2 linked regions of the Elephas maximus indicus genome follow. The protein of the gene in region 1 interacts with the protein of each later gene in a pairwise test. Links are inferred from orthologs where the notes say so. Each region holds a gene or a part of one and is shown on either strand. Other genes may lie near its edges.

Region 1 (11,661 bases):
CACCCTACATTCAAATTGAGTCACTGAGAGAAGAATGACGTGAACATTTCCTGCGGTGATGAAAGCGTCAGTTGCCCTTAGACAGGGTCTGGGTCAAAAAAGGAAAAATCTAGTACACTCGATCAAGAGTGCCTTGGCCCTAAAAACAGGTTTGAGTAGACTACGTCAGACAAATGCCAAAATTTCAGCTAGCCAGATCCAACCACCCATGCATTCCAAGATACGGGCAAACATTTCTGATACGTGTGTACATAAACGGATACAGACAGACCATCCCATCTACAGGGAAAGAACTGCACAAAAGCCCATGGGGATTTGTTGGATGGGGAAAGAATTGTTGGATGGGAAATGCTGGCAAATGGATTAATAAAAGGATTAATTAAGAAATAAGAGCCAGAGGACAGGGAAATAGGTAAGTGCAAAAGTTGGAAGAAGGAGTAAAAGGTTGGAGGCGCAGCGTGCTATCAGCGTTTTGAAATGATGTTTTGGTGCTTATTAAGAGCAGTTCTTAGGATTAGGAGCCCAAGTGTCAATTACAACGACTCGCTTCTTTCAAGACTAATATAATTCCACAAAGAATTTTTCTTTTTCTTTTCTTTTTTTTTTTTTTACTATATATGATTTTTTGTTTGTTGTTTGTTTTATGAAGTTTAGGAATCTTTAAGAATTCTGTTTTTAGGAAACTCATTTCAATTATCTTTTAATCTGAAATGTCACTTTAAACCCAATGTGAAGAAATGGCTCAACAAGTGGCGCCCAGTAGAAGAAATTAAGAAGTATTTCTAAAATTATCTGAAGCACGACCTATTCACTGTATTCCTTGCCTAGTCCTTAAATAGGCATTTGTGATGAATGTGCTCTATATAATCGAACCCTCAATATTAAAAAATTAGCATAGTAATAATGCTCTTTGATACTGTTTTGTTACAGCTACCCTTTTAAACCACAGAATCTTTAACTTCTATTTATTATGTACTAAATAAATCAAAAACCGTTGCCTTCGAGTTGATTCCTACTCACAGCAACCCTACAGGACAGAGTAGAACTGCCCTATAGGGTTTCCAAGGAGCAGCTGATAGATTTGAACTGCGGACCTTTTGGTTTGCAGGAAAAAAAAAAGCTTGCTACATTATACGACCTGGTTAAGACTGTAATGACACCGTGGAAACCATGCCACATACAAGACTGGCATTAAGCGGATGTAAAAATGACCCGGCGGGTGCGAGCTTGAATTGGTCATAAACATCAAGAATGGAGAGCAACTTTCAAAAGCGAGGCCATGGGCCGAATCCCCTTCAAGCCAATTGATTCTGGATGGGAAAAAGCAGGTCAGGCTCCAAAGAAAAGAAGGTCCATTTGTGAATATTATTTTACCCCAGGGCAACAATGTGGCCTTGGGCCAACAGGAAACCAAAGCTCGAAGTGCCTCTGATTACTCCCTAAAGCAGCAGCCTGGGGAGAAATTATCCCTCACCCTTAAAGAGGAGCCCTCCCCCACCCCGACCCCAGGCATCACCGCCAAAGCTGTATGAGGCGGTTCTACTCTGTCCTACAGGGTTGCTGTAAGTCGGAATAGGCTTGAGGGCAATGGGTTTGTTCGGGTTTGGTTTTTTGTTTGGTTTTGTGTTTGCTCTCTGGCCATCCAGAAGTAGAGCCCATTTGTCTTCGTTCACCCAGGCTGGTCTCAGTGTGGACACTACCTTCAGGAGAGAAGTCAAAGGCGATTTAACACCATGCCACCATTTTAAGAAGCAAGGGGCATAAGTGTGTACAAAGAAGGCCTGGCCAGGCAATGTTTAACACAAGGGTTAAGCACTCCGCTGCTAACCGAAAGGTCAGTGGTTCAAACCCACGCAGCTGCTCCACAAGAGAAAAGACCTGGCCATCTGCTCCCTTAAAGAAGCCTAGAAAACCCTATAGGGCAGTTCTACTTTGTCATATGGGGTCACTAGGTCCACTAGATGGCACCTATCAACAAATGTATAGAGACCTGGAATTTATATTCTGAATTGCGACCCTCAAAGGACTGTTAACTTATTACACCATTTTGAACAAACCAGCTACGTTCAGTTTTCTAGGAAAAATTTGATGAGGAACAGAACATCAAAAATAGGAATACTTTGTGAATTCACGCGAGAATGTCAGTTAAATGAGAAGACAACAGCCCCATCAAAGAGGAAAAGCATTTTAATTTAACATATTTAATTTCTAAGATTTTTTTTTTTTTTTTATGAAAGGGATCAAAATATTCGGAGACCTTATTTCTTACAGGTTATTTCCAATGATCAGGTTTTGTGAAAACTCAACCAAGCGATTGGTGTTATGGAATAAAAATACCCCATTTAAAAAAAAAAAAATTACATGAGTATTGCTGACATGTTGTTAAATGTGAGGACCACATAAAGAACATGTCAACTTTCAATAAGTTAGTAACCCAAGTCGCATGGAGAGATCTAAGAAGCCACAGAATTTGCACTAGCCTCATCTCTATAATACCTCATTTTAAAGTCAGTTAATAAACACTCACACAATAATAGTGGTTTCATTTCTTCTACAGATCTAGCTTCTAAACTAGACCACATTTGTAACCACAGGCAAACAGCAGGAACACAGCAAACCACGTGGTTATGTAAGGCTTCAGAAGGGTATTCCACATACAGGCCTTTCACTAAATGAGAAAGAACATTCTAGAGTGGTCTGTGAGCAGCAGCGGAGGGCAAGTGTAGCTTTCCAAAGGTTTAAACTACAACTAGAGAACTTAGAGACCAAACGTTCCCAGAAGAACAGCACTAGTTGGCTTTTGTCCTGATTTGGTTTGATTTTTCTTCTTCTTAATAAAGTTACAAACTATGTCGTCCTCTAATTTAAATGTGAAAGTATAGATGTTGCTACAGGGAGACAAAAAGTATGCCCAAGGCAGGGGAAAAAAGATCATGTGGGCTCCATGTTCCTCTGAGTTTAACTACAAACGTGTGTAACAATGTGGGCTTTAAAATGTATACTTTTCTTAAATAGGCACAGACCGCAGACGGGAAATAAAAGCTTTCAGCTCTACGCCAGGAGGCTCTTTCCTTTTGTTTCCCTCCCATCACCGCTTCACATTTCTATCAAAATCAATAGCAACTCATAACTCAATATGAATTTTCATCCTTTTTTTTTTTTTTTTTTTGATGACCAGGGGCAAAAGCGGGTTCTCCTGTTTCATCAATTCCATGTTTGGCTGGGATCACGGAATTGCTTTCCCCATGTTTATTAGCTTAAAAGCTCTCCTCGGCACGGATGGGGACAGACACACACACACCCCACCCACCTTTTCTCAAGCTGTTAATGTGAATTGCCGAGAGAACCTTTCAGATGAGAGATGCTAGTAGCTGGAAGACTAAGCGAAAACAAACCCAAACCTGCTGCCGTGGAGTGCATTCCGACTCATAGCGACCTTATAGGGTTTCCAAGGAGCGGCTGGTGGATTGGAACTGCCGACCCTTTGGTTAGCAGCCGAACGCTTAACCACTGCGCCACCAGGGCTCTGCTATAAGACTAACCCATAAAAACCCAGTACCCTCGAGTCGATACCGACTCATAGCGACCCTATAGGGCAGAGTAGCTATAAGTTACAAGACTAGCACTCTGGTATTCCCTCACTTTGGTCATTTTCCCCTTTCGCTCCCTCCTCCACGCCTATTTTCTCAAGGTACCCCCCAACTTAGAAAGCAGCTGTTAAGAGGGAGGTGAACAATAGAATCTATGTACAGACTGTGTGTGTGTTAAGACAAGAGTGTGTGTGTGTGTGTGTGTGTGTGCGTGTGAAGGAGAAAGGAAGTTTTATGTTCTGTGTATTAACTAGGGAAGGAACTGAATACCTTCCACTCCTATATAGAGAGAAACTGTAAGTATCTGGCAAATTAGTAATAAAGATCTCCTAGTTCCACGTGGGGAACCCTGGTGGCGTAGTGGTTAAGCGCTATGGCTGCTAACCCAAAGCTCGGCAGTTCGAATCCATAAGACCTCCTTGGAAACTCTGTGGGGCAGTTCTACTCTGTCCTGTAGGGTCGCTATGAGTCCTACTCGACGGCAACCGGTTTTTTTTTTTTTTGGATTTTAGCTCCACGTGGGTGGAATAAAAAGTTAAAGCGCTTGTACAAGGCAGTTATTAAGATCGGCTTTCAAATGAGAGATGGGATTCGGGGATCTCTTTGCAACTTTTAAGTTAACCAATTCTAGCACCTGCCTGGGAGGGCGAGCAGGGCAAGGAGCGTCAGCTGCCACGGGTGGAAGCAAGGAGCCCCCCCTCCCCCGTCCCACCTCACCTAGAAACCCGCCAAGAGCCATCAACTGGCAACCCCTGGGGCCATCAGAGAGGCCAAAAAAGGAATTAGAAAACGGAGCCCTGCTGGCTGAGCCCGGCTTCTCCTCTCCTCCGCCCAGCCTCAGACACACCTCCAACCGCCCCAGGTTTCACAAAGAGCCGGCCATCCCTCCAGCCCGGCCGGCGTGGCCTCCAGCGGCAGGCGGGGACGCCGCCCCCGTGTATTCCCCTACAACAAAAGCTGTCTTCTCTCCCCTCAGGTCTGTGCATCCGAACTCCCCGCACGGACTCCCCCAGTACGCTCCAGAAAGACCCCAGGCAGCCCCTCTCCCACGCCCGCGCCACGCTCGGGTGCACCTAGTCAGGTGGCGCCCGGCGCCGGGGACCCGATGGAGACACCTGGGCGCGGCGCGCCGGCCCTGCACTTACTCGGAGTTTCAAAGGTCACCGGAGCGCGGAGCTGCCTTGGTGACGACGGCGCGGAGTCCGCTCGGAGCCCAGGTGCTCTCTGCTGCCGCTCCGCCGCGCGCCCTCCTCGCGGTGGCCTCCCCGCGCGTCCCCTCCTAGCTCTCTCCGCACCTGGGCGCGCGCCTCTGCTCGGGGACCGCCGGGCAGGCTGCGGGCTGGAAAGCGGGGACCGAGGCTGCGGGCGCTCGGGGACGCGGGGCGGGAAGGAGCGGAGGCGCGGAGCCGGGGGCGGGCGCGGGGGCGGGGGCCGCGCGCTGATTGGGGCGCTCGTTCCCGCAGGAGCCTCCGGGGCAGGGCCCCCGCGGGAGCACGCGCGCGCACTCGGAGCGAGAGGCCCTGAGATGGAATCCGGCTTTGTCTTTTTTTTTTTTTTTCAGCAGAGACTGAACACGCGATGTCTTTCCCAAACTTCATGCATCTTGGGGTTTTTTTCTAATTTTTTTTTTTAGCCAAGAGACTGCACACCAGATGTCTTCCCAAACTTAATTTGTCTTCCCTTCCTTACACGAGCGCATGTGCACGTCCCAATTTACCCGGGAGGAGATCTTAACTGGACAGTGGACGGCATCTCAAGCTACAGTTTTGACCCCAGATAATTTTTCCAAAGATGCCGTTGGAGGTGAAAACGAACAGTCCTCATCCCAGCCTCCCATCTCTCCCCACCCTCAGCTCCCTCCTCCACCAGCCCAGGTTACTTAGCTGTCGTCTCATCCCACACGAATGTCACACATGCGCAAAGTACGCTTCTGCGCTTGTCACGGAGAGGGACAGACGTCTGAAAGTTCCCAATTAAGTGCCACTTCCCTTGGGGGTCTCTTTCCATTTGGGGCTTCTGTAGTGCTTTTAGTGACCTATTTAGCGACATGCGTTTGACACCCAAGACTTTAGAGGACTCCGCAATGTAGTTGCAACTGCGGGGTTTGTAAAACTCGGAGACTGGGCTTCGTGGCTTTCTGGAATTGCCTTTTCACTCACTCTAGGAAAGATGCTAGGGTGTGTTTCTGTCACACATAGATGAATATTTATGAGATGGAGGAGACAAAAGCAGTGTGCAAAATGATTAAGAAGTGTAAGACAAATTTACCTCAAAATATAAAAAAGGCAGTCTTTCTGCCCCTCATCAGTTACCGCTCCTTGTCATGGTCTTTTCACTTCCTCTCAGTTTATCATTTGATGGTGTCCACCCCAAGCGAGGCTGTAACATACACTTCCATTCTTCATACTTCTGACACTGCGTCCTCGCCATTCAACTTGACAAATACACATTAACCGCTTTCCATAGCTCTTAATGTTTACACTTAGAACCATTCCTAAATCCCAAAATTAGAAGGATCATTTTGTGGCAAGTAGTTTTTAGGGACTCCAGGCTTTCATGATGATGAATGCCTGGACAAATGTCTCATGAAGGAGCTGGCTGGGGACAAAGAGGTGGCTCTATAGGTACAGCTTTGAATGAATGAATGCATGCATGAAGAAATGAATGATTTTATTTTTTTAAGGAGAGAGAAAAGAACAGCTTCCATGGAGGGGACTCCAACGCATGGCAGCCCCATATGTGTCAGAATAGAACGGTGCCCATAGGGTTTCCAGCAGCTGTGGTCTTTGGGAAATAGATCACCAGGCTTTTCTTCCAAGGTGCTTGAACCTCCAACCTTTCAGTTAGCAGCTGAGTGCATTAGCTCTTTGCACCACTCAGGGACACCTTTAAAGGAGAGGAGTCAGAAACTCACTCACATTCCTCCAGTCTGTCCCCATAACCAAATTCTTCATACACACACCCCACATCATCTTCAAATGAAAGACAGAGATAAGGAGCCCCCATCTTCCTCTACACACAATCTTTATGTTGCCTGTTCCCCTTTTTTGAGTCCATTTTCCCAGCGAGGCCAGTCATGTTTGTTTTAGTCTGATTTCCTGTGTGGAAATGACGGAAGGATTCCAGTTATTATTTTATTATGGTTATTTTTTCCAGGTCATTTACTGAAAGGGGTTTCTCAGCATTTACTCTCTCTCCATAGGGGTGGAGTTTCCTAGCCATTTAACAAAGGGTTGTCCATTTTCCTCTTAAACCTTATCTAAAGGTAACCTGTTGCTACCAGCAGAATGAGGCTGGCTTTGTTGTGATCTCACCTATAGGACTGGTAAAGTGAGCGTGAGATTCCCTCGCTTCCTACTCAAACACACGTGTTACAGCAGAAATGTAACCTTTTATTCAAATACATATACATGAACATGACTTACATCACTGGCTCTCAAACAGGAGCAATGAACACTTGGCACTCCGGGGACATTTCTGGTTTTCACAGCTTTGGGGAGGGTGTGCCACTGGCACCTGATGAGTAGCGGCCAGGGATACTGCCAACCCTCCTGTAATGCACAGGGCAAGGCCCGCGACAGAGCTGTTTGGTCCAAATGTTAATAGTACCAAGACTGACAAACCCTGACTGACACTATGAACCACTCTATTTTATAAATACAAAAGAAGATTAAAGAAAGCGTTGTTTTTAATAGGAATCTATGAGATTGAAATTAGTCATAATTTAATTCAACCAGGGTTTACACCAAAGTAAGTAGAAGGTATTTTTTGATGCACTCTGAGATGTTCAGCCTCAGTTCCAAACTGCACCTGGCTCTGCTGCTTCAAGATTTCAAGCCGTTGTACGCATTTAACCCACATTCTTGGAGCACTTTTCAAGTCTTTGGGTGCTGGGAATAGAGCTATGGACAAAAACAGATAAGAATCCCTAGCTTCATACAACTAATTAACTAATGAAAGAAACAAAGAGAGAGAAGAAACATATAATGAGTGCCTTGGAAAAAACAAGACAACGAAGGAGGATAAAGTGCTGATTTGGGAAAGGAAAGCTCAAGAGGGTGACATTTGAATGAAGACTTTAAAATTGAGGGAGTAAGCCCAGCAAGTATTCAGGAGGAGCAGCTCCATGCAGACGGATCAGTATGTGCAAAGGCCCTGTGGTCATGCCTTGCCCAGTGTGTGAGGGGAACAGCAAGAAGGCCACTGGGGCTGGAACAGAGTGGTTGTGGGGAGTGTGGTAGGAGGCTATGTCAGGAAGGTAATGCTAGAGCACGCACAGCCTTTGGCCACTGTCGGGAGTTGTACTTTTACTCTGAATGGGTTGGGAAGGCTCTGGAGGGATTTGAGGGGAAGCATGACAAAAACAAGGTCATTCTGCTGTATTGAGAACAGACCTTATGAGGGCCAGGTGGAAACAGAGATGCCAGTTATGAGGCCACTGCAATAATCCACTTCTTCCCCTTTTTCTGGTTTCTCGTGAAGACTAATTACACACACACAACATACACACACACACACACAAACACTGTTGCTGTCAAGTTGATTCCGATTCATGATGAGCCCATGTGTTACAGAGTGTTAAAGAGTACAACTGCTCTGTAGGGTTTTCTTGCCTGTAATCCTTAGAGAAGCAGATTCCGAGGCCTTTCTTCCCTGGCACAGCTGAGTGTGTTCGAACCACCAACCTTGGGTTAGTAGTTGAGCTTAAACCATTTGTGCCGCCCAGGGACCTTCGACTAGCCACACACTGCGCCTTAACTTTCTCTGGCCCCAAAAGCTCCTGTCAGCAACGGCTTTGGCTTCTCCGCCAATGCCTCGCCTCTCCAGATGCAATTAATAAGGGCCCTGCCCAAATGAGGCTTCCTGGGCTCAAATATGACTGACGCCAGATGGTCTGAAATCACAGAAATTATAACATGTCCAAACAGTGTGCTGGAAATGAGGCTGCTGATTTTGCCGTGACAAATACAATGAGAAGTGTGATCAGCATGAAGTTAAGAAACGGGAAGGGACCTGATGAAGAATTTGCCAGCATGTCTCCTGGATTGATGGCCTGGCAGGAGGATGAGACTCTTGGTTAGCGCTCCGAGTTCTTCTTCAGCATCCCTGGGATTCAGAAAGGCAGTTCATCAGGCTGTCTCATTTTGATAGAAGCCTGTCTTAGTCATCTAGTGCTGCTAAAACAGAAATACCACAGTGGATGGCTTTAACAGAAATTTATTCTCTTACAGTCTAGGAGGCTAGAAGTCCGAATTCAGGGTGTGGCTCTAGAAGGAGGCTTTCTCTCTCTCTCTCAACTCTGGAGGAAGGTCTTTGTCTCTTCAGCTTCTGCTTCTTGGTTCCTTGGAAATCAACATGTGTCCTGGCATCTATCTTATCCCATCTCTCTCTCTGCTTGTTTGTTTAATCTCTTTTACATCTCAAAAGAAATCGACTCAAGATACACCCTACACTAATCCCACCTCATTAACGAAACAAAGACAACCCATTCCCAAATGGGATTTTAATCACACACACAAAAAAAACCCATTGCCCTCCAGTCAATTCTGACTCGTAGAGACCCGCCCGGTAGGACAGAGTAGAGCTGCCCCATAGGATTTCCAAGGAGTAGCTGGTGGATTCGAACTGTCAACATTTTGGTTAGCAGCCAAATGCTTAACCACTGTACCACCAGGACCCCAGAGGTTAGGATTTACAACATATATTTTTGTGGGACACAATTCAATCCATAACAAAATCCCATTAATACATTCCTCTTTCTCGCTCTGAAATATTTCAAAGCTAATGAAAAATGTTTACTGTATTGTTTTAATTACTGTGACACGATTACAAAGCCCACTTCTACATTAGACACATTTTTGGAATGATTGTGCTTTTTCTTGATTAAAAATAAATAACCAAAACCAGAAAACTCTACTAAAAATGGCTTAAATAATAATTTAGGAATTAGTGTCACAAGCCACACGGCCTGATACAATCGGTGTTTTAAAGTCTTCAAGGGCCCGGGTCTTTCTGGTTTTGATTCCGCATTGTCAGTTGTGAGCTAGGGCTCTTCGGGATGGTTAGAAGGAACTTGGAGCATATTTGACTTAAAGTAGCTTGTTAGTTGCTGCTCAGTCAGCGAGTCACGTTGACCCATGCACGACAGGGCTGGACCTTGGCGATCTACAGGGCTTTCACATCGGCTGATTTTGGGAAGTAGATCATCAGGCCTTTCTTCCTAGTCCTTCTTAGTCTGGAAGCTCCACTGAAAGCTGTTAAGCACCCCTGCAACACGCAGGCCTCCACTGACTGACAGGTGCACAGGCCAAGAATCAAACCTGGGTCTCTCGCAGGGAAGGGGAGAGTTCTGCCACTGAACACCACTGCCCTCTGACTTAAAGTAAACCAAACCAGTTGCCATTGAGTTGATTCCAACTCAAGGCGTCCCCGTGTGTTTCAGAGCAGAACTGCACTCCTCAGGGTTTTCAATGGCTGTGATCTTTCAGAAATAGATCGCCAGGCCTTTCTTCCAAGGTGTCTCTGGGTGGCTTTGAACCACCATTTGCTTAGTAGCTGAGTGTTTAACTGTTTGCAGCAAAGTTAGACTCCAGCTTAAAGTAAACACAACCCAAAATGCAGCTGAGAAGAGACCAGCTTCCCAAGTCCCATAGCTACAGACTCCGCCGGCAAGAGGAAGGAGTGGGAAGGGTTTGGAAGTAATCAATAGTGCCTGCGACAATTCGTCCTTGAAATTTAATAAATCTGCATGGGGTTGTCTCAGTCTGCACAGCCCCTTATGAATCTACGTAGCTTGACTTAAGCCCCTCAGTCTTGTTCTTCCTGCCAAGGGCTGCTAAATCAACATTATAGACTAGCAAAGCTGGGGAGCAGGCCTTAAACCATGGCCTCACCCAGACTCACCCATTCCAGAAAACCACAAATTACCCAAAGAGGTCTGATTGTACATTACAAGGAAACAAAAATTACAGACCAATAGGTCTCATGAAGGCTGCCTGGGTGGTACAAACCATGGAGTGTTTGGCCACAAATCAAAATGTTGATGCTTCAAGTCCACCCAGAAGCCCCTCGGAAGAAAGGCCCAGGGATCTACTTCCAAAAGTTCACAGCCGTGGAAATCCTGTGGTGTGTAGTTCTACTCTGATGCACGTGGGGTCACCATGAATCTGAATCAACGGCAACGTTTGTTTGTTTGTTTGTTTTTAATGCCTCATGAACATGGATACAAAAGTCCTTAACAAGTGTTATCAAATCAAAGCCAGCAATGTATACTACACGTACATCATGATAAAGCCAAACCAAAGCTGCTGCTTTCTAGTCAATTCCGACCCACAGTGACCCTACAGGATGGTACAGAGCCGTCCCATAGGGTTTCCTAGGAGTGGCTGGTAGATTCGAACTGCTGGCCTTTTGGTTAGCAGCCATAGCTCTTAACCACTGCTCCATACATGGTGTTTAGCCCAGGAACGCAAGTGTGGTTTCACATTTGAAAATCAGTAAGTATAGTTGATTATATTACATTTATTAACAGAATAAAGTATGGGAAACGAGGAGTAACACTTCAATAGTTAACACAGCTGACAAAATTCAACACCTGTTCTTGATAAAAGTCCTCAGCAATTTAAGAATATAAAGGAAAATCCCCATTCGGATGAGAGACACCCACAGAATGTCTCTAGTTAACATGATACTCCATAGTGACTGTGACTGCTTTTGGGCGGCAAAGTGTTAGTCTTGCCCTGGTGGCACAGTGGTTAAAGCACTAGGCTGCCAGCCCAAAGGTCCATGGTTCGAACCTGCCAGGAGAAAGATGTGACAGTCTGCTTCCATAAAGACTCCAGCCCCGGAAACCCTATGGGGCAGTTCTGCTCTGTCCTATAGGGTTGTTGAGTCAGAATCGACTTGACGGCCACGGGTTTTTGTTTGGATGGGGATGTGGGAGGGTTTGGAAAACAGACAGACATATGCAAGTAATGTTTAGGAATAACATGGAGACAGCCTGAAGGATAGAACATCTATTAGAACCTGTCATCCTATCAGTCTTGCATTCAAGAATCTAAAATTTTAGAGC
Region 2 (11,484 bases), on another chromosome or scaffold:
GCTGGGCTGAGGGCTGTGGGGACCATGGTCTCAGGGAACACCTAGCTCAACTGGCATAACAGAGTTTATAAAGAAAATGTTCTACATTCTACTTTGGGGAGTAGCGTGTGGGGTCTTAAAAGCCTGTGAGTGGCCATCTACGGTACAATTCTGGTCTCACCCCTTCAGGAGCAAGGAAGAATGAAAAAAACTAAAGATACAAGGGAAAGATTAGTCCAAAGGACTAATGGATCACAACTACCACTGCCTCCACCAGACTGAGTCCAGTACAACTAGATGGTGCCTGGCTACCACCACTGACTGCTCTGACAGGGATCACAGTAGAGGGTCCTGGACAGAGCTGGAGGAAAATGTAGAACAAAATTCTAACTCACAAAAAAAACACCAGACTTACTGGTCTGATAGGGACCAGAGAAACACCAAGAATATGGCCCCCAGACACCCTTTTGGCTCAGAACATCACTTGAGGTTCACCCTTCAGCCAAAGAGTAGACAGGCCCATAAAACAAAACAAGACTAAAGGGGCACACCAGCCCAGGGGCAAGGACTAGAAGGTGGGAGGGAACAGGAAAGCTGGTAAAAGGGAACCCAATGTCAAGAAGGGAGAATACTGACATGTCGTGGGGTTGTTAACCAGTGTTATAGAACAATATGTATACTATTTAATGAGAAACTAGTTTGTTCTATAGACCTTCATCTGAAGTACAATAAAAGAAAAAAAAATATATTTTTTCTGTGCCCTTTTAAAAAATGGGAAGAAAAATATGCCTTGCTCTATTTCATAGTGTCCCAGTGACAATTAAATGAGACAATATGCATGAAAGTGTTGTGACTTCTAGATTAGAGGTTACAGTTAATACAGTGTTTGCATTTCCATATGGCCAACATCTAGCTAGGTAACAGCCGCTGCCTTGTAATGGGGCAGGAAGCTCTAGTTTGTAACACTCCTCACCATTCCGTATTGCTCCCCATTATGGCAGCAGAGTATCCCTTGTCTTGTTGTATCTTATACCTGCCCTGCACGTTATTTGTCTGGTCCCTGTGGGTGTGTGGATTTGCACTTAGACTTTGTATTTCTGGCTCCAGCTCGCAAACTGATTGGTTGATTATAGATGACCAATCTACTCATTAGTCTACTAATCGTACCTTCTCTCATTCATATCTTTTTAACATTACTCTCCTTAATAAAAGAAACACTAGTATGGAAGAAGGAAGGAAACGTCTATTAACATGAATGTGAGATCTACTACAATATGGTTAAGTATGACTTTTACTTTTATCTACTGTCTGGTTTTAAATAGAAGTGACCTGAAAGAAGAAAGTTTCTAGGCTACATGGTCTGTTCTGTATCTGTAGGTTTTATTCATACTTTATCCTTTTTCCTGACTTACCTCATAAGCAGCACCCAGATCCTGGAACTTCTCCTGAGCTCGCGGGTCATCGGGGTTCCGGTCAGGATGAAGCTGCAGGGCTAGTTTCCTATAGGCTTTTTTAATGTCCTTTATAGAGGCACTTCGAGGCACCCCCAAGATCTTATAGAAATCTCGCCTGGTGGGGATGGGGGAAGAAGACATCATTAGAGAGTTGTATATTACATTTTATAAAAGTGAGGTTTTTTGCATTTACATTTAGGTTTGTGTTTGAGCAAAGGGTTAGGAAAATGAAGATATACATATGATGCAAAAAGAAAAAAAAATGACTAGAAAGAAACACCAGTCCTATATATTAATCGCAATGAGAGGCTATGTACATTTTGAGCAATGCTAGAATTATTCAAAACATCTGTGGCACTTTTCTTTTAGAACTACCTTCAGTCAAAAAAAAAAAAAAACTCTTATTTTATGGTCACAGGTTATTTTCAGCCAATTAACTGTATCATGAAAGAAACTCTCCTCTTTATTTCCCTGTATCGACTCCAAATGACTTCTGACAATTTCCAAAAGTCAAATAACAACCTCAAAGGATTATTTTCCATACTCAAAAAGATTGTTACATTAATGTTTTCATTAACAGTGGAACTACTGGAATGTTAAAGATGAAGTGACTAAAGCTCATTTCAGAGGTTAACACAGAGTTTAAACCAAAGCACACATGACAAACCTGAAGAGAAAAGAACATCCATTTGGATGTATAAATTGTGGTGTGTTTGCTGAAAGAGAAAGCCAGAAGAAATATCAATCTTCTTGTTATGCTAGTTTGTCTAGGTCAAGTCTTAGTTAAAGACAGCTGCTGAAGCCCGTATGCAGAAGCCTGTATGTCTCAGCAGCCATGGGTATGCATATGGCATATGCTGGGAGGTGACACAGAGATCCACTGACCTCCTTTCCATGAACTATGCTGGAACCCAATTAATCTTAATGGGGATCTTTGCAAGAAGGGCCAATGGGAAGGTAGAATAAGACTATTAAAACTTTCAGGATAGGGATGGTATTTGGCTCATAGAAGAAACCAATACATATTCATTGAATGAAATGAATAAAAAAGAACGTTCGCAAGAAAAAAACCTATGCATTCCTTTCACCACCTTAAGTTATTCTGAAAATGCTTTCTCAACAATGAGGCTGGGAAAGTTGTTCACAATAGTGACACTGATGTAGCAGTGAAGGTAAAAATATATTGGAGTACCAAAATGCAAGTCATATAGGACAAAATATTAAAAAATATAAGTTTCATAAGCCCTTAGTCCCAGTTTAGGAAAAAAATCACTTGACCATTTCATGTAATTTTTTTTTTTTTTTTTTAATTATCACCCACAAGTGGTTCCATGAGAATTAGGTGTCTTCTGCTCCCCCCAAAACGTGTAAAATCTTGACATCTCTTATGATAAGAACTAAATAAATCAAAAGGATTGCTATAATTAATAACTAGAGGTCTAAATCTATAAAGAATGATGCTTCCTTGGAATATACTTAATATAAAAAGGAAGAGAAACAATGGCTAGTATAGCTAGCTCACCATCAACATTACCGTTCCCAAGAGGCTCCTTTATGAATGAAGTTCAAAGCTACAGTATTAACAACATTTATATCAACATTTTATTTAAACACCTTAGGGTTCTTGTTGGAGCCCTGGTGGCACAGTGGTTAAACTCAGGCTGCTAACCAAAAGGTCGGCAGTTCTAATCCAGCAGCCACTCCTTGCAAACCCTATGGGGCAGTTCTACTCTGTCCTATAGGGTTGCTATGAGTCAGAAGTGACTCGACAACAACGGGTTTGGGTTTTTTTTGTTTTTTTTTTTAGGGTATTTGTTGCTTTAAGTGTTAAAAGAACTACCAAAAACATGCCGAGAAAAAACAATAAAAGCATTACCTAGGATAAGTAAATATTTTTGACATTTAGTGTTTCACAAAGTAACAAAACGGTAAGCATAAATGCACATTTAAAAAAAAACTTAAGAAAATAAGAAGCACATAGATTTTAAAGCTCTGCTAAATACTATCGCCCCTATTAGAACAATGTATAAACTGTCAGAAGCTAAGATCCTACTAATCCCTGGCATAAACATCCTGTGGTCACCAGACTTAGAGAATCATGCATCTTAAAGACAGGAAGGATCCTCAAGAGTTCATCTGGTCCTACTCCCTTCATACAGGTGGCACATTATCCTCGTGTTACAAATGAGAATTTATACAGGTTCCTTCAAAGTCACATAATTCATAAGTGGGGTGGGGTTTGCAGGCTAGAATCCCAGTCAGGTACCAGTTGGTGAACTGCTTCTCTCGCTCATAATGTCATTCAGCTTCTCAAGAAGGTACCATTGAGAGAGACAGTGACACACAATCACAGCTTAGGCTCAATACTCCAGGAAGCTGGGAAGACTCTCCAAACGGTCTGCCTTGCTCCTCAATTAATTTTCTTCAGTCCCAGCATGGCCTCCCTACCTCTCCCCTCACTTCGTCACTCAGCCTGCTATCATAACCCACCCACTTTAATATCAGCGCCCCAATGGCTCGTCGCAGGCACAGCATCGCATCGTCCTCTTCTCCAGCCCAGCAGGCACAACAACCCACCTCTCTGACCAAAGACCTGCCCAGGCCCCTCAACCTCAGCCTGCCGCTGTCACTCCTTCATTATAGCCAGGGGCTCCGTCCCTCTCCCACCTTTGCGTGACACTGCTTCCGCTCACAAATCACTTGCTTCGCTTCAAATACGCTCCTCCTCCCCCCGCCAATGCTGTTTGGCACTGCATCCAACTCCTACATCCCTGGGCTAATTTAGGTCTTCGGGGCCTCTGGATCTAAGTCCTTCTCACTCGTGTTACCCACGGCTCTCCTCTCCACCCCAAGAGCCTGGCCTGCACTATCCATTCCTCCTCCCCACCGCCTCACCACGGCACTGCCCCTCTCCACTCCCTCAGCCCAGCAATGCTCCGCCCCCCATCTGCCCCCGGCCGCCCTCCTCCCCAGCAAAAGCTGGTTCACGGGCCCCGTGCCCGCGGGGGCCTGGCCCTCACCCGGCGATCACGGCCCCGATGAGGTACAGCAGCAGCAGGCAGAAGGTGCCCAGGTTCTGCGGGGCCATGCTTCCTCCGTCCCGGACCCTCGCCCACGCTCTCCTCACAGCCGCCTCAGCAGGCGCGTTGGCTAGCCAGTCCACCCGGCCCTGTAAGGCCGCTTCGCGCCGGGGGTCTCCTACTCGGTCCGCAGCGACAGGTAACTTGCCCCCTTCCTCTGCCAGTCCACTTCCCGGGGATCCAGTCCGGTGAGAGAAGCCACAGCCGGCGACGGCCAATAGCTGCTTGGGACATCACACGCTGCCGGCGCCTCGGAGCCAATTAACGCGGTACACTTCACCTCCGAGGCGGCGCGGACGGCCAATTAGGTCTCAGAACTGCAGCCGCAGCTCGCGACCAATTACAAGAGGAAACGTCAGAAGGTGGCGCCGCCGCAGGAATCCTCTCAGCTCCAGCTCCAGCAAGTCATAGAAAATTACGTAAGAGAAAGGTGGGGCCAAACGGGGGTACCAGAGGTAGGTTTCCCCTCGCCCGCCTCCTCGGACTCTTCACCAATCAGAAGGAGCCTCCTCCGGCTCCAGCCAATTGCGGGAAGGAGACTTTATCTTGGTTACAAGTCTCGGAATTTCATTCACGGTGAAGTGCTTGCTGGATGCGGGGGCGGGGCGACCTAGGCGAAATGGGCGGGGACGAGAATTCCCGGCCAACGGTACAACGGATACGTTGTTTAGATCTTATTTTAAATTCTCTTAACAGCCCTACGAGGAGGTTGTCCGCGTTTTAGAGAAGAGGTCGTGGTGCCTAAGGTGAATATTTTTGGTAGAGGCAGACAGACTTAGGTTTGAATGAGGCTCCCACCACTTCTTAGCGGTAAGACTTTGCACAAGTCTGAGCTGCTTGATTATATTAACAAAATTGGGGCAAAGCCCCCAGTGACAGTGTTGCTGTGAATTTTAATGGGAGAAAATCTTTAAGTCGTTTAGCACAGGTTCTGGCACATAGTAAGCACGCAATGAATAATAACTATTATTACCGTTATGACCAGAACTCTGCCCCAATCTAGTCTTGCTCATCTCAGGAAACTCACCAAGTTTAGAACAAAACTCCAGGTGTCTTCCTTGTCCTAGTATTAACACTAGAGTGACGCTCCGCTAGAAATTATAACAATTTTATTGAAGGAAAAAGACAAGATAATTTCGCGAAATGGAGAATCCCACGGGCACTCAAACAACAGGCAGCATGTGTTCTGGCTTGTGAGGACAGCAGTGAGGTATTTATCAGGCAGAACAAACAGGCAAGTGGTTTTATATCCAAGGGGATGCAGGATAAGGAAGGACAAATTTACAAGGGGTTGTCAAACTACAAACTTTCCTAACTTCGATTTCTAGCCTAACATCAGTCTCTTACTTCCCATTACAAGTTGACTAAAACAATATTTTTAAAGCAAGCTGTGTAAGCATTCCTGATGAGGGGGTTTAGTGATTGATTGTACACTGGCTCAACCTTAGTTGGAGTCCTTGAAATATAAAAGTCGACCATTTGGTTAAAAAACCCAACCCAGTGCCATCGAGTTGATTCAGACCATTTGGTTAGGAAGATGAAATCAACTCCAATGTGAAGCCTCTCGAAATGTAAACACTGCCAATCTGGCTGAGAGGAAGTGAGTTAGGGCCTAGGCATACACTGGATTAACTCTCTGAGAGCAGTTAAGATAGCAGGATTATTTACGTAAGTTCTACTCTTTGTGTCATAAGCAATTAAAACTTTCACAGGAAGCCAACTTGTCTTTTGTAGACGGCAAGGGCAAGCTTCAAACGTAGTTGCAACTTCATCTAAAACAGAATTTCACTTTGGGTCTGGGATTAACCATTTCAATCATGCCAAGCAGCCCCAATTTTAGGGTTTGTTTATTCATCCTCCTAACTGTATCCTGAATATGTCCACTGCTCAACATCTCCACTACTACCTCTGGGCCAGGTCACCATCTCTCACCTGGCAAGGGCTCCTCAGTGGTCTCTCTGCCTCCACTCTTAATGTCCTACCATCCATTGTTCACTCCTGTCCTTCTCTCCCATGATTTAAAACATTAAATTATGTCGCTCCTGCTTAAAAGCCCCAGATGGCTTTTCATTGCACTGAGAATACAGTCCTAACTCTTTAGGTGACATGATCTGTACCCTCACCTAGTATACTCCGTATCACGTTCCAGCAAACCTGGCTTCCTCTTTTTTGAATACACCAAGCTCATTCCATCCTAGGGCCTTTGTATTAGCTGTTCCCTCCACCTGCAACACTCTTCCCTCAGATCTTAATATGGGTGACTCCTTTTTAAACTCAGATATTAGGAAACCCTGGTGGCGTAGTGGTTAAGTGCTACGGCTGCTAACCAAAGGGTCGGCAGTTCGAATCCGCCAGGCACTCCTTGGAAACTATGGGGCAGTCCTACTCTGTCCATAGGGTTGCTATGAGTCAGAATTGACTCGACGGCACTGGGTTTGGTTTTTTTTGGTTTGGTATGAGTTTAAATGCCAACACTTCAGAGAGGACTTCCCTGACCAACCAATTCAAATTAGCCCCCACTGAGTCCCTTATTCTTACGCCACCCTATTTTATTGTTTCCAACCCTACCCCCCCCCCCCACCCCCTTGTACTCACACACTGAGATGTCTGTTCCCGGAGATCATGAATCTGGTCTGTTACATTCACAGCTGTATCCCCAGCATCTTAGAACAGCTCCTAGCATAGGGTAGGAGATAAAAATTTTTTGAGTAAATGAATAGTTGTTTTGACTGTGATCTTCATGTGGCTGGCTTTTTATTCTTTGAACCTCAGCTCAAATATGCACACCACAAAGTGGCCTTCCCTGTCCCCTTCCTCCATCTCTTCATAGCACTTAGCACTATAAAAAATTATCCTATTTTATTTATCATGTATTGTCCAAAAGGTCAGCAGTTTTAATCCACCAGCTGCACCTTGGAAACCCTATGAGGCAGTTCTTCTCTGTCCTACAGGGTCACTATGAGTTAGAATCAACTCGATGGCACACAACAACAACAACAACATTCTCCCTATTAAAATATACACTCCAAGAAAGCAGGGACCTTGTCTGTTTTGTTCACTGCTGTAATCCTAGTGCCTAGTACTTTGCCAGGCACACAGTGGTGCTCAATACAAAATAATTGCTGTTGCAGAGAACTGAGGCACGGATAGGTGATGGAATTTGCCCAAGGTCACTGAGCTAGTTAACTGGTGCAGAATGGATCCTAATCCGGGTCTATTTGAATCCAAATCCCCTGCTTTTTGCATCTTGACTCTTGTAGAGTTAAGGGGAAGACAAGATTGCTGATTTCAGGAAATGCTTATTAGGGGAGAGAGGCCATGCAAAAGAGGAACTAAATTACATCGTATTATCTTATTTATCTTTGTATACCCCACAAGTACAGAGGCCATAAACAAACAAAGAAAGCAGGAAATGGCCAGAAATCATAAAATGGAGGTTCAGAGAAAGGAGTGACATATTCTGAGTGGAATCCAAAAAAGCTTCATGAAGGAGGCAACATGGCATAGCCTCGTCTGAAGCTAACAGAATTAAGGCAGTAACGCAGGGGCCTCTCCCTTCGGACTGCCTAGGTTTGAATCTTGACTCCATCTTTTATTGTGTGACCTTAAGGGTATGTTATATCGGATCATAAAAAACTGTGGATAACATTGCGAAGAATGGGAATTTCAAAACACTTTATCGTGCTCATGAGGATCCCTCTCTCCCATGATTTAAAACATTAAATTAGACCAAGAGGCAGTGATTCGAAGAGAACAAGGGGAAACTGCATGGTTTAAAGTCAGGAAAGGTGTGCATCTGCATTGTATCCCTTCACTGTACTTATCCAACCTGTATGCTGAGCAGATAATCTAAGAAGCTGGACTATATGAAGAACGGGGCATAGGGATTGGAGGAAGACTCATTAACAACCTGCAGTATGCAGATGACACAACCTTGCTTACTGAAAGTGAAGAGGACTTGAAGTACTTACTGACAAAGACCAAAGGCTGCAGCCTTCAGTATGGATTACATCTCAACATAAAGAAAACAAAAATCCTCACAACTGAACCAATAAGCAATATCATGATAAAAGAAGAAAAAATTGAAGCTGTCAAGGATTTTGTATGACTTGGATCCACAATCAATACCCATGGAAGCAGCAGTCAGGAAATCAAATGACACATTGCATTGGGCAAATCTGCTGCAAAAGACCTCTTTATAGTGTTGAAAAGCAAGGATGTCATTTTGAGGACTACAGTGCACCTGACCCAATCCATGGTATTTTCAGTTGCCTCATATGCATGTGAAAGCTGGACAATAAGGAAGACTGAAGAAAAATTGATGCCTTTGGATTATGGTGTTGGTGAAGAATATTGAATATACCATGGACTGTCAGAAGAACAAACAAATATGTCTTGGAAGAAGTACAGCCAGATGTCCCTTAGAAGCAAGGATGGCAAGACTTCCTCTCACGTACTTTGGACATGTTATCAGGAGGGACCAGTCTCTGAAGAACAACATGCTTGGTAAAGTGGAAGATCAGCAAAAAAAAGGAAGAGCCTCACCGAGATGGATTGACACAGTGGCTGCAGCAATGGGCTCAAGCTTCACAAGGATTGTCAGGATGGCAGAGGACAAGGCTGTGTTTTGTTGTGTTATACCTACGGTCACTATGAGTTGCACGCGACTCGCTACCGCCGAACAATACAGGTACGAGTTTCCTCATCAGTCAAACAAATGAACTTGACTTAGAGGACTCTTGGGAAGACTAAGATAATACACATGAAGGTGTTTTACACAGCTGCCACGGTAAGTGCTCATGTAAACTGCCATAATTATTACTACAGATCAAAGCGTGCTGACCTTGCAACAGCAGCTCTTGGCCAACTACCTTTCTGCGGAGCAATAGAAAACTTCCTACTCCCTTAGGTTGGAGCCCTGGTTGCGCAGTGGTTAAAGCGCTCGGCTGCGAACTGGAAGGTCGTGGGTTCGGACCCACTGGACCCACCAGCCACTCCGGGGGAGAAAGATGTGGCAGTCAGCTTCTGTGAAGATTTATAGCCTTGGAAACCCTATGGGGCGGTTCTGCTATGCATCAGTAACAACTGGACGGCAGCAGTTTTGCTTTTTGGTAGGTTGAAAGGCGAGACACCAGAAAGGAGTCCAGTCCGGCCCCAGGTCCCAGCGTGGTGGCCTAAGCCAAGTTTCTCTCAGAGTGACTGGAAAAGCAGCCGGCCGCTCTGGCAACGCCGTCCGCCTGTTCTCGGTGGTACAAGGGCTCGCGCTTGCGCTGTGTTTGGCGGCGGTGCGCGGCAGAGGGCGAGGGGCGGGCGGGCGAGCGCGACGTGGGGCGCGGCGGCGCGTGGAGAGGCCGGCGGAGCGCTGCCTGCCTTCGCAGGTAACCGCGCGTGGGCTGGCGCCAGGGCTGGAGGGATGGGCCGGTGGAGCTCCGGGCTGGGGTCGGGTAGGCTGCCTTCCCGCTGGCCAGGCCTCGGGTCCCCTGCGGACCCTGTCAGCGGGGGCTTCCGGTCGCGGAAGCCGGTCGTGTCGCTTGGGGAGCTCAGGTGAAGCCTCAGGGGGGCCGCCGTGGGCCTCACGCCCATCTCCCCGCCTGAAAGATCTTAAGGTGCCCCAGCGCCCCGGGGGAGTTTCTGAAGAGAGAAAGAGCCCAGCTTGTGTTTGTTTACATATTTGGTCCTCTCGAGTCCCGCAGGTAGAAGGGACCTTACAGGGTACATCTCCACGACCTGGCTATTTAGGGACAGGAACCCAGTACCTCAGCAAACCAAAACAACCTGTTGCCGTCGAGTCGATTCTGACTCACAGCGACCCTACAGGGAAGAGTACAACTGCCCCATAGGGTTTCCAAGGAGCGCCCAGGGGATTCCAACTAGCAGACCTTTTGGTTAGCAGCCGAGCTCTTAACCACTGCGCCATCACGGTTTCCCAGTACCTCACAGAGCAGCCTGTGTCCATTTGGGGGCGAACTAAGATCTTACTCACGTCACTTTCGTCGTCTAGTTTTACTCAGAGCGACGCTAAACCATACCCATATTCAAAAATAGCTGTCATTTACCGATCCTCACCCTTCCTTCTTTGGGGCGCACACTGTCTCTTTCCTTCGCCCTGGCCATTATATGGTGTCATGTCTAAGGCTCGTCATTCTTGTGGCTCTCCACTGGATCCACTCCTGTTTTTCAGGGGGCATCCCAAAGCTGGGTTCCCTAAGTATATTTGTAGCAACACAGTTCTCAAGTCTGGTAGACCGGAATTCTAATCCACATATGTGCCAATTAAGCACGTGAGTTTGGGCAAGCCGTTCTTTGAACCCGTTTCCTCATATGAAAATGGGAATAATCATAGGTCCCTCCAGGTGGTTGTGAGGATGAAAGTGGGTGAAATATGCAAAATATTTAGCATGGCTTCTGGTTCATAGGAAGTACTCCATTGATGTCAATTATTTTCTTGAACAGACAGTTCCCAAAAGAAGCACAGTTTTCTTTGATACAAATGAAAAGTATAATAATAGCAATGAAGCATTTTTCATCTTATATAAGGAAAGATTTATTTAAACGATGTTAATGCTGAGGGATGGTCAGTGAAGAGGATACCCGTGGTCAAGCCATAGTATAATTTGATACAAGGGTTTTGGAAAGCAGTGGGAATGTATGTCAGTAGCTTCAGAAATGTCAGTGTTACTTCATCTTGCAAATATTAGAATTTTCCTTGGGAAATAATTCACAATGCAGGAAATATGTAGAAAGATGGTAATAAGAACAGTATTTATAATAACAAAAATGTTAAACCTTTTATTGTAGAAATTTTAACATACACAAAAGTAGAATAGGTAAATAAACCCTCACATAACCCATCACTGGGCTTCAGAAATTATCAATATTATGCCTATTTTGATTTTGTGAAAAATTTTGAACCTACTAAGTGTCTGAAAGTGGGAGAACTATTTAATAAACTAGACTACAATTATTTTAAA

What was found.
Region 2: the proteins of PTN (region 1) and DNAJB11 interact in a two-hybrid assay, tested with the Homo sapiens proteins (2 studies listed by BioGRID and IntAct). The link is inferred for Elephas maximus indicus from reciprocal best matches to the Homo sapiens genes PTN and DNAJB11.

Annotation. Positions count from the first base shown.
Region 1 is NC_064826.1:12,586,152-12,597,812, reverse strand, and holds the start of PTN (pleiotrophin), read right to left. Parts: upstream 5,001-11,661; 5' UTR 4,736-5,000; intron 1-4,735.
Region 2 is NC_064819.1:28,476,172-28,487,655, forward strand, and holds the start of DNAJB11 (dnaJ homolog subfamily B member 11), read right to left. Parts: upstream 4,729-11,484; 5' UTR 4,522-4,728; coding exon 4,454-4,521; intron 1,549-4,453; coding exon 1,392-1,548; intron 1-1,391. UniProt on the Homo sapiens protein: As a co-chaperone for HSPA5 it is required for proper folding, trafficking or degradation of proteins.